Linked DNA regions of Macaca fascicularis. The protein of the gene in region 2 purifies or fractionates together with the protein of the main gene of each other region. This does not show direct contact. Links are inferred from orthologs where the notes say so. Each region holds a gene or a part of one and is shown on either strand. Other genes may lie near its edges.

What was found. Proteins that work in one complex are often made in the same cells at the same time.
Region 1: the proteins of TSPYL1 (region 2) and ZMYND8 purify together in Homo sapiens (affinity purification with mass spectrometry; 4 studies listed by BioGRID and IntAct, counting the BioPlex papers as one, with this or other methods). This does not show direct contact. The link is inferred for Macaca fascicularis from reciprocal best matches to the Homo sapiens genes TSPYL1 and ZMYND8.

Annotation. Positions count from the first base shown.
Region 1 is NC_088384.1:103,408,858-103,414,477, reverse strand, and holds the start of ZMYND8 (MYND-type zinc finger-containing chromatin reader ZMYND8), read left to right. Parts: upstream 1-1,880; 5' UTR 1,881-1,940; coding exon 1,941-1,954; intron 1,955-3,105; exon of another isoform or gene 3,106-3,176; intron 3,177-5,620. UniProt on the Homo sapiens protein: Chromatin reader that recognizes dual histone modifications such as histone H3.1 dimethylated at 'Lys-36' and histone H4 acetylated at 'Lys-16' (H3.1K36me2-H4K16ac) and histone H3 methylated at 'Lys-4' and histone H4 acetylated at 'Lys-14' (H3K4me1-H3K14ac).
Region 2 is NC_088378.1:20,294,833-20,300,575, reverse strand, and holds TSPYL1 (testis-specific Y-encoded-like protein 1), read left to right. Parts: upstream 1-2,446; 5' UTR 2,447-2,548; coding exon 2,549-3,874; 3' UTR 3,875-5,717; downstream 5,718-5,743.

The DNA.
Region 1 (5,620 bases), on a different chromosome or scaffold from region 2:
TGAGCTCTTCGTTTTCTTTGTGGGAACCGTGTGGGACAAGAAAGCCCACAAGTCCTAATTTTAGGAGGAGAGGGGAGACTTTATTGCTCCAGAGTTATGCCTCCTGGCATATGGCTGCGTTAACTCTGGAAGCTTTCTCCAGCCTCTAAAGAATGGTGTTTATTTAGCTTCTGTGGTTCCAGCTTGCTGTTTTAAAAAATCCTGTTAATTAAGCACCTTGTCATTTAAAATGCTGAAGAAGGAAAGCAAGCAAGAAAACTTGGACATTTTAAGGTCCTTTTGGATCTCTGGGTACGGACCAACTGCAGAGGCAGCTTTAGGGAGGAGACCGGCAAAGACCTCCTAACGCAACTGAAGTGGGTAGAATGATAAGCAGCTCTGAACAACCAGTTAATATTTTACTGGGGAGTGGTGCCAGAGATGGGGGTGGGGGGGCTGCCAAATGGAGGGCTGTGTGTGAAATCGCTGCTCCATCTGCCTTGGGGGACGAAAAGAAGCCGTTCTCTGTGCAAATAAATGGAAGCAAGAATCCTTAGGAAGCCCAGGGGATTTGTCTGCCCACCGAGGAGGGCCCAACTCCCCCAGGCACACACATACAGGGATGATTGTGGCAGGAAGGGCTGACCTACGGGGGTAGGCCTGACGCATAATGGGGGCTCTTGTTTCCGGGCTGAGCGTGCCATCTTTCTGTCTCCCTCTGGATTGAAATGGCTTCTCAGCCCGAGAGGCACTGCCTGTGCCCTGGATTCACAAGGTACACGCCTCCCTGGGAAGCAAAGGCTGAGAGACAGCGGCTCTCTCTCTCTCTCTCTCTCTCTGCATCTGCCGGGAGAGCTGCAGCTGGTATTTTTCCACAGGCCTTTGCTGCGATCTCAAGGCCTAGTTTTTCCCAGCCAGGCCCGGAGTCCGAGAGAGGGTTAACAGGCAGGAAGCCGAAGGCATCGCAGGCTAATACGGAAGTCAGATTTGTGTTTAACTGACAGGTTTAGCAGGCCTCGGCCGTGGGGGAGGGGCCGGGAGGCAAGGGAAGTTTGTAGATCCAGGCATGTGGCCTGCGAGGAGGGCTTTGGGTTTTTCTTAGGGTAAGGACGGAGAGGGGTCCCCCTTGGCATCGTGGCAGGGAGGCAGGAACCCACGTTGATTTTGCACGCAGGACTGGCTAAGCAGGGCGAGAGGCCCACGGCTCTCTGGCCTGCCTTGCAAGGAGGCATGGGGACAATGACTATGCAAACTTGACCACTCTGCTCCCCTCCTCCCCTCAGCAGCTACTCCTCGCTCCTCTGAGAAGCCAGGGCTGCTCTCTGCTGATTTTTCGTGGCTCCCCCGGTCTGCCTGCTTCCCCAGCTCCTCAGAGGCCTGCCTCAAGCCCCTTTTTCTGGCCCCCTTGGCTGTTTCCGTGGGACTCCCCACTCCCCAGCTTCCCCTTCCCCTTGGAGAGCCACCCTGCTGGACTGTTCTAGAAAACGGCTGGCCTTCCTCCCTGGACAAGGGCCGTTTCTCTGGGGGCAGGTGAGGGTGAGCCGTTCCAGCCCACTCCAAGAAACTCCCTTCCCAGGGGCCTCCAGTCCTCAGGCTTCCCTGGAGCAGGTCAGGCTGGCTGCCCTGGCCGGCCCGTGCCGGGAAATCTAGCCAGGGTGCAGGAGAAGTGCGTGTGGGGGCCCCTTTCCCAAGTTTTTCTTGCTGCAAAAGGCCTAGCTTAGCCTGTCTTTTTCTATGCACAGGATGGCTCTTGCTCACCCGAGCCTCACAAAGATAATCGCTCAGGAAGTGTTTCAGCCAATCCGGGGCGGCTTTACACTCCGATTTGCCAGGGCAGCCAATCGGGGATGAGCTTTTATTAGGCGGCCAGATCATCAGCCGAAGTGCCAAACCCTTTTTCTGTGAGAACTAGGAGCCTGTCCTCCATGTTTTATAAGTATTGACATTACACAGTGTTAACAATGCATCCACAGAGGTAAGCTCGACTTTTTAACCATCTTTTTTCCCCCTCCCTCTGAGACATCCGAATTGTGGGCGAGCAGTGTGATTTCTCTGTGGCTGGCCGTGCCACACTCACCCCCAGAGCACTTATGTTAACTTGGAACTGTTTAGAGAGAATTTTTTTGCTTTCTTGGGTCACATGGCTCAGTAGCCATTAGCCATAGCTTGATTTTGCAAACTGGCAAGGGCCTGGCACACCTTTCCTTCCACCAGGGCATGGTGTTTCTGGAAGAGTTTGAAGCTAGATCCTGGTATGCCAAAAAAGAAGCTTTTTTTTTTTTCTTCTTCTTCTTCTTCTTTTTTCTTTCCCTCTTCCCTCTCTCTTCCCCTCTCTCTCTCTCTGAGCAGTTCCCCCCCCCCCCTGCACTATTGTCTTCTCTTTTGCCACATGCCCTGCTGGGGGAAGAAAATGGAAGGTAAGCAAACAGGCTCCTCTCCAAGGAGAGCTCATGGCAGACAGCAGAGCAGGCAAGTTTGCCTCTCCAAAGAGGTTCTGGGAAGGCTGGATAAGTTTTGACAAGAGAGGAGCGTGTTTGCAAAAGAATTGAACCCTCAGCAGAGCAGTGCTAAGGAGAGTCTAGCTCCTGGGGCCTAGGTGGGTGGTGGTGTCTGTACACGGTCTTCTCTTATTCTACAGAGCTTCTGCACTTGAAACTACATTGTTCAGCCTGTTTTCCTGACTTAGGTTGCTACAGAGTGTTCTGCAAGCCAGCCTACAGCCAGCAAATGTTTCTGAAAGTGTTTTCTAGGTTTTGGAGGAAGTTTTTGGAGTAGGGATGGGGACTGGGGGGTGTGGGGAGAGAGATCTTGGACAACATCCTGCAAAAAAAAAAAAAAAAAAAAAAAAAGAAAAAATCTGCAAGGATTCTGAATCCCTTAGTTTTCTACTCTTGCATGATTTTCAAGGAACTAATGTTACCTTTTATCCTTGTTTTCATTTTCCTGTCCCTTTTATACATTGTATCCTCCTCTCTTCTCCTGTGTGATGGAGTGTAGAGGAAATAAAATCATGTCTGTGGCTCATGACAGCATTCCATATTCAGTTGTTGGGTTGTGGTGTTGTTGTTGTTGTGTGTTTTTAATAATACCATGTAACTGTTTAAAAAAATTTCCTTTTTGATCAAGTCCCAAATCTGCCAGCCTGTTCTCTCTTCCTAACTGTGGAAAAATGAGACGGTTGCTTGAACATTTGTTGGGTAAGTAAAGCAATCCATTTCCTCTGTGACCATGTTTGAAGAGTTTTGCGAACATTTGGGGTCTGTTTGTAATAGGGGGTCTTGGCTGCAGGAGTTGGGGGCTTCATTAGCAGGAACAAAATAAGGGCTTTTTAAAGAGTGTCTTGATTTTAGGTGACTGTTTGAATCCACTGTTTTTCCTGATAACCTGCAGCTAGGATTGAAGATTATACTTCCTGTTTACCCTGAGTCAGGGGAGAAGTGTTTAGTTCATTGTGACTTGACTCTAGACCTTTAATGGGGTTTGTTTGGATATTCAAACTGTGAGTAGGTGATGTGCTTGTGAAATGTAATGAAACTGCTTGTTCTTAGAGTTGCAGAGCCCTAAAAACATTGGTGGGGCAGAAGCTGGTGGTGGTGGTGGTGGTGGTATGTGTGTGCTGGGGGGTGGTGGTGGCAGTGTGCTCATGCTTTAGGACTTATGTATAGTGCAAAATCTCATCTGCCACCAGACTGGGGTTGGATTCAGGACTCACTGACCAACACATTTTGGCCTTTTTTCAGGTCTCATCCACACATCTGTATGCATGCTGACCCCACATAAGATTTGTCACTTTTTACATTTCCCTTGACTTCTTAAGGCTGCAGCTAGAAGTTAAGTGGGAAAAGTAGAGTCTTGTTTAGCATTACCTTTAGAATTTCCCTAGAAGTTCAGTACGTAAATTTTCAGCTTGGAGACCAATCTGACATGACTGTAAATGCAGGAAATATATTCAATTGCTGTGTTATGTCAACTTTATGGAGTCAGTAATCTTTTTTCTTTCAAATGAGTGTCCAGTAGCCCACTTTCTGACACCAAATTGGAAAAAGGCTCATTTAATCAGGAGAAACGTTTCGTACCACATTCTAAGTTGAAAAAAGTCTGTGCAAGGCAGGCCAGCTTAGCTTCTTAGAGTAAAACTGCAGGCAGTTAATGATGTTACATACTTAAAACTGAACAGTGCCACTGCCCCAAACAAGTAAGTTTAGACACTCAGCTATTTTCTTTGTTCTTATCTCCTTGCTGTAAATGGAAATTACATATTGAGGTTCTTGTGGCCTCCCTAGAAGCAGTGTCTAATCATAAGACTCCTGGTTTGGTGCCTTCAACGTTTGCATAATACTGTGTTTGTTGGGCTGGAAGGGAACTTAAGGGCAAGGCGTTTGTCCTCTAAAAGCTTGCATTAAAATGGCTCCCACAGGTTTGGAGAGCCAAGATGTGTTCTCAGATGTACAGCCCCCAGCAAGTTGCCAACACTGGACCAAGCTAGCCACTTTTCCTCTGGTACTGTGACCCCTACCAAGCATGAGTCTGTAAAAAGTTAATTGCTTTCAAAGTAGCATTATTTTCCAGTTTCAGGAAAGGGGAAAAAAATGTCTGCATTGCAGCAGGACTAGGTAGGGACGGCAGTACTGGCTCCCAGAGCAGCCCAATGGGGTTCTTCTCCTCTAGCTTTTAAACCAATAGACTTGGAGGAAAGGTTAAAGATTGACAATTACAGTGGCCGAACTAAGAACAGGCCTTCTGGAAATTTCTACCATCTTTGTTCCTTTTAGGAAAAGCGGATCTGCCAAACAGAAGAGTCTCCTACCTTCCATTCCTAGGTCATCTCCCTTCCCTTCTTCCCCCCCAACCCCCCTTCTTTTTCTCATCAAGGTATAATGTTCTCTCTGCCACATTTGTAAATTGCAGAGGGAGGAACAGAATGTTGGGCTGTTTTCCTTTTTCCTTCTGCCTCCTCAGTCCCCAAAGAGGATACACAGCTGCAAGGAGCAAACACAGACACACTGAAGCTTTTGATTCCTCTTTTTTTTTTCCTTCAAGACCCTCCAGGATGGGTTCACTTTCTGCTTTGGGAAATTAAGTGGCATTCACGTGGGGGAGGGGGAGTAACTGCTTTTATTAGCTCCAGAAAATGGTCAGTGTTCAGTCTGTAACTAGGAATTAATTATATATAATCACTCAGTAAACTTTCTACAGAGTTTTTCTAATTGCTGAGCCTGATCATAGTTAGCCCGTTGGCGCCAAGTCCAGTTACTTTTATAATTAACAGCTCAAAGATTTGAGTCAGAAAGAAACAATTGGGGGCCTCTTGGATTATAAATTAGGGATGAAAACAATAGCTTTTTTTCCTTTCTTTCTTGTAACCTCTTTTATTTTAAACAAAACATTCCCCCTTTTCTTTCCCTGGGAGAACCAGTGGGGAGACTGCATCAGGTCTTAAATATGAGGACGGGAGACACTTTTTAGGAAGTGGGGTGACAGTAACCTAGAAAACCCTGAGGCAAAGGTAGGTTTTTAAAAGTCCAGCCACTTCCAATGTGTGATGTCTTTGTTTCTTTTGCCCTCTTTCCCCTTCTCTCTCCTGTGGCAGAGGCAGCAGACATTTGTCAGCCTGGGAACCCTCAATCTGGCTTTGCCTCTG
Region 2 (5,743 bases):
CATCTACATTCTAGGATTGGTCCAAGCCTGACACTCTTTTCTGCTTAAAAAACTAGAAGGCTTATTGGAATAATAAAAGTTTCCACTTTAGGCCGAATGAAATTATACCAGTTCAATATAGAAGATGATTTCACGGCAATTAGAAACAGGCTTTGTGAAAAGTTCCATTATTGCTTTTTATTTATACCAAAAGTAATTCCAGCCATGCATAACAGGCTCCATCACTTGTAGAGAAGAAAGCACTCTATATTTCTTTCGACAGAAAAGAAGTAAGGCCTGAAATGATTACCTTGACTTTTCCAGAAAGGAGAGAAGAATTGGAAATACAGTATTGGTAGTCCGAGGTTTTGATATGTAAACTCACCTAAATATACTGGTCTTTTCAGAGTTTGTTTGTCACACAGTGTGACCACAGAAACTTAAATTATTTGTAAAATAAAATTGTTTTCTCTGTGTTTTTCCTATCCTTTTAGAGCCTTTGAAGCATATATAGAAATTTATTCTCCTGAGTAAGAATCTATTACTATATACAGTAGAGCAGCTCTCTGTTTTGCCAGTGGCAGATAGGAAGGAGAGCAGGTGACAACCCATATGCCCCTTACTTGTCTTCTGCAAGCAGCAAGTTGTAAGCAAGAGAAACTGTTTTCTGCTCAGTTGCTCCTTTATTTAACATTTTAATAATCTATGGGATACTGTGCAAGGTAGTGTGCTAGGCACTCGATAAACAGAGGGAAACAAAACCATGATCTTGTCCTCTTGCAGTTTACGGTCTCCTCAGATATCATTTGTGGTATGTTTAGGCTTTAATTTTGTCTCTGTGTATTGCCTAGGTGTATATCTGGTCTTGATATTGAAAGACAGATTCAAGCTGTAATACATCACAGCTGTTGGGCAGAAACTCATGGGAAGCAATGAGCAAGGCAGAAGGGGCAAATTAGAAACAATTTGAGGCACCCATAGATGCAACCAAACCTTAATCCAAAGTGTATTCATTTAATATTGCTTCTGTAACAAATTATCACAAATTTAATAGCTTAAAATACACAAATTTATTATCTTATAGTGCTGGAGGTTAGAGGTAATAACCTCAAGGTGTTGGCATTCCTTTGGAGGCTCTAGGATAGAATCTATTTCCTTACCTTTCAAGCTTCTAGAGGCTGCCTTTATTCCTACGATCCTGACTCCTTCCTCCATCTTCAAAGCCTGCAACATAGCGATTTCCCTTTCCTCCCTCCCCCTCCTATTCTCCACCATTCTTTCCCTCTCTCTGTGCTTTCGTCCTCTCATCTTCTCTGACCCTCCTGCCTCCTTCTTCTAAGAAATGTAATTCCATAGGGCCCATCTGTATAATCCAGAATCATCTTCTCATCTCCAAACCTTTAACTTAATCATATCTGCAAAGTCCCTTTAGCCACATAACTAAGACTGGTACATCTCTGAGGGCCATCAGCTTACTACCACACGAAGCAAATTAAGTAGAAAATAAGGTTTGCCTCTTTTACGCCTTGAGTCAACCAGCTGCATGTTGCCCTTTGCAAGTTTGTTTTCTACTTCAAGGCCATCTTTGTTGTCCATTTTAACTAGCCTTTCCTCACAAAATGGTGGTATGTTGCTCCCCCTACTGATATTTCTCTGAGGCCTTGTAACTCTCTAAGATAGCACCAGTTTAACTCACAAGTCAAAAAACTGGAACACTTCAACCAGAGACATTAACATTCCCCTCTAATGAACTCTTAGCTGATTGCTAAAGACAAATGCTTCATTAGAGCCAAACATTCCTATCTTACATAACTAAATATGATAACAAATTAAGATCATGGGGCTGGAAATAGTTATTATTTCCTCTTTCTTGCAGTGAGGAGGCATGAAACAACATTTAGCAAACTGATCCTGGCTTAATTCCTACAGATATTATGCAGCACAAACTCTTATTTGATGCAGATCATACATAAAAAATTAGCAATGAATAATAAGCATCGCTTTAGTGGTAAGGAAGCTGAGTAGCTTTTTTTCCCCCAGTAATCGTAGAGGCTAGACTTGACATTTTTATGTCACTTTTACTTAGAAGGGGGCAAACATTAGTTACTCCACGTAACTAGGAGCAAAATACTTCTTTTTAAGATTAATAGCCTCAAAAAAGTGAAGACCAGAAAAACATTTGTTTTCAGACACTGGAGAGCAGGAACGGCTGTGATTTTACAACCGCTCCTACATGCTGGGAGAAGTCTCCAGATGCGTCTCAAGGTGGGTCGTCAGTGCTTTCAGACTCAGCACAATCTACATATATTTACGTAGTTAAAATTACTGTTGCTATGGGTAAATTCACAGAAGTAAAGCCCAGAGAATCCGGTTGGCTGGCAGGGAGCGGCGGAACCAATCCCGGGCTCAGCAAGTTCTCGCGATACCGTGAGATCTGCATCCCTGACGACACCGCCGCGGAGATGTTAGTGAGACTGGCGGGTGGGCGGTGCGAGCGGCGGTTAGCTCCGAGCTCGGCTTCTCTGAGGAAAACGGGCGTTCACCTGCGGTTGGTCCGACTGTTACCAACATGAGCGGCGTGGATGGGGTCGAGAGGACCCCTCCCCTCCAAACCCACAGCATCATTATTTCTGACCACGTCCCGAGCGACCCGGACGCACACCAGTGCCTGAAGCTCCGCGACCAAAGCGAGACGACACAGGTGATGGCGGAGCCGGGTGAGGGAGGCTCGGAGACCATCGCGCTCCCGCCTCCACAGCCTTCAGAGGAGGGGGGCGTACCTCAGGATCCCGCGGGCCGTGGCAGTACTCCCCAGATCCGAGTTATTGGGGGTCGCGGTCATGTGGCGATCAAAGCCGGGCAGGAAGAGGGCCAGCCTCCCGCTGAGGGCCTGGCAGCCGCTTCTGTGGTGGTGGTGGCAGTGGACCGCAGCTTGAAAAAGGGCGTTCAGGGTGGAGAGAAGGCCCTAGAAATCTATGGCGCCGAGAGATCCGCGTCTGAGCTGCCGGCGGGGGCGGGGGCCGAGAACGACACCGAGGAGGTGAAGACAGGAAAGTGCGCCACTGTCTTAGCAGCCGTGGCTGAGGGGGAGAGCGCTGAGGTGGTGGTGAAGGAAGGCCTGGCGGAGAAGGAGGTAGTGGAGGAGCAGATGGAGGTAGAGGAGCAGCTGCCGGAAGGTGAAGAAATAGAAGTGGCGGAGGAAGATAGAGTGGAGGAGGAGGCGAGGGAGGAGGAAGGGCCCTGGCCTCTGCATGAGGCTCTCCGCATGGACCCTCTGGAGGCCATCCAGCTGGAACTGGACACTGTGAATGCTCAGGCCGACAGGGCCTTCCAACAGCTGGAGCACAAGTTTGGGCGGATGCGTCGACACTACCTGGAGCGGAGGAACTACATCATTCAGAATATCCCGGGCTTCTGGATGACGGCTTTTCGAAACCATCCCCAGTTGTCCGCCATGATTAGGGGCCAAGATGCAGAGATGTTAAGGTACATAACCAATTTAGAGGTGAAGGAACTCAGACACCCTAGAACCGGCTGCAAGTTCAAGTTCTTCTTTAGAAGAAACCCCTACTTCAGAAACAAGCTGATTGTCAAGGAATATGAGGTAAGATCCTCCGGCCGGGTGGTGTCTCTTTCTACTCCAATTATATGGCGCAGGGGGCATGAACCCCAGTCCTTCATTCGCAGAAACCAAGACCTCATCTGCAGCTTCTTCACCTGGTTTTCAGACCACAGCCTTCCAGAGTCCGACAAAATTGCTGAGATTATTAAAGAGGATCTGTGGCCAAATCCACTGCAATACTACCTGTTGCGTGAAGGAGTCCGTAGAGCCAGACGTCGCCCACTAAGGGAGCCAGTAGAGATCCCGAGGCCCTTTGGGTTCCAGTCTGGTTAACATTTGCCCTTGGGAATACTCCTGCACAAGGTCTCCTACCACCTTCTGCTGGACTTGTGCTTGGGCATCAGCAATGGGTATGTCTTCTACTGTGTTTTGTTTTTGCTGACTTTTCTGCACCCTCTTTCCTTTGGATATTCAGTTCTCTCAACCTCAAGATTGAGACGGTGGTGGGTATGCGTCTCCACTTCCATATGACCTTCATGCTGTTCTGGAATATCACATGCTACGAGGTCATCCTTCACGCTACTTGTAAGCCAAGCAAATGATACTGTAGATTGTACTGCCTTTATCTGCACTGCTTGGACGCTGTTTATTCCCAGGGCCTCTGAACTGGTTGCTATCACCTGGATTTCTACCTTTGGGAGCCTATTCCACCTACTCAGCTCTGCATCGTGAAGTAAGGGCGCATGCCCTGTGGACAGTTACTGGACGTTAATGAACTCAGAGGAGAAAAGCAGTGAGCCGCTTGTTCTGTGTGATTTATGCTACTTTATTGCTCTTCCTTCACCTCTAGTCACTTTCTATAGCTACCTGCCCTGCATTGGCTCCTGCCAAGGTCCCTCTCTCCCTCTTTTCCTCTGCCTTTTTTTTTTTTTTTGAGACGGAGTCTTGCCCTGTCGCTCAGGTTGAAGTGCAGTGGTGCGATCTCGGCTCACTGCAACCTCCACTTCCCGGGTTCAAGCGAGTCTCCTGCCTCAGCCTCCCGAGTAGCTGGGACTACGAGTGCGCACTGCCATGCTGGGCTAATTTTTGTATTTTTAGTAGAGATGGGGGTTTCACCATGCTGGCCACGCTGGTCGCGAACCCCTGACCTCGTGATCTGCCCGCCTCAGCCTCCCACTCCTCTCTTTTAAGTATTAGCTCAGAAATATTTGTAAAAGCAAGCTTTTAATTTCATTTTGGTTCTGTCATTTTCAGAGACAAGTTGTCCTGTAAAATAAGAGTGCTAAAGCTCTTATGCCCCCACCCCTTTCTTTCTTCCCAACTTCCTACTTCCTAGCCCTTTTATCAGCTCCTAGAATATTTAAAGGGAGACACGTCTAGATGGGATGAAAGGTGAGATCTAGTTTATAATGGGTGGAGGAACTAAAGAGATTGTGATGGGTGCCCTAAGCAGGGGAAACTGAACAAAAGGCTAGAGGCATGGGCCAGGTAAAAATTGGGCCTAGAATGAAGACTGTGCTGATGTTAAGAGCCTTCGAGGTAGGAGTACTTACTCCTCAATGGTGATGAATGGAGAAATTCTTTTCAGGATTGCTAAAGGAGAATTGAAGGGGTTAAAGTGTTAAATATGTTGCCTAGACAAGGGTTCTTTAAAGAAACACAACGCAAGTTTGAATGCTTGCTTGCTTGTTTTGTGACCTGATTTATGTGGGTGATTGTTATTTCATTAGGATTTAGTAAAATCTTATTTTTTTTCTGTTTCTAAACTTATTGTGAAAATTGAGCTGTGCAGACATTCTTTTGATTTCAATTGGGAACATTTGGAAGAACAATAGTCTTTACTTTCCTGTACAATATAGAGACATATGAATATTCATAACAGTTTTCAACTTGTTCTTGTTTCTGTTAAACTATATTCCTAGAAACATAGTTTGAACAACTTGGTCTTTGTTAGGCTTGTCAAATTGCCTTCGTGGAAAAATAATCTACAAAAGTGTGGTTTAATTGATTGTCTTACATGATAATTTTCCCTGGTAACAACTTAGTAAGTGATGTGTCTTTTTTCCTAAATTGCTTAAATACTGTGAAATTGCTCTGACAAATTGGAAGTGTACCATTGGCATATTTGTCTTCCTTTTTATGCATGATGGTAAAATAAAAGCATGTTGTTCTGCTAGATTTCTTATTTTTCACCTTACCCAT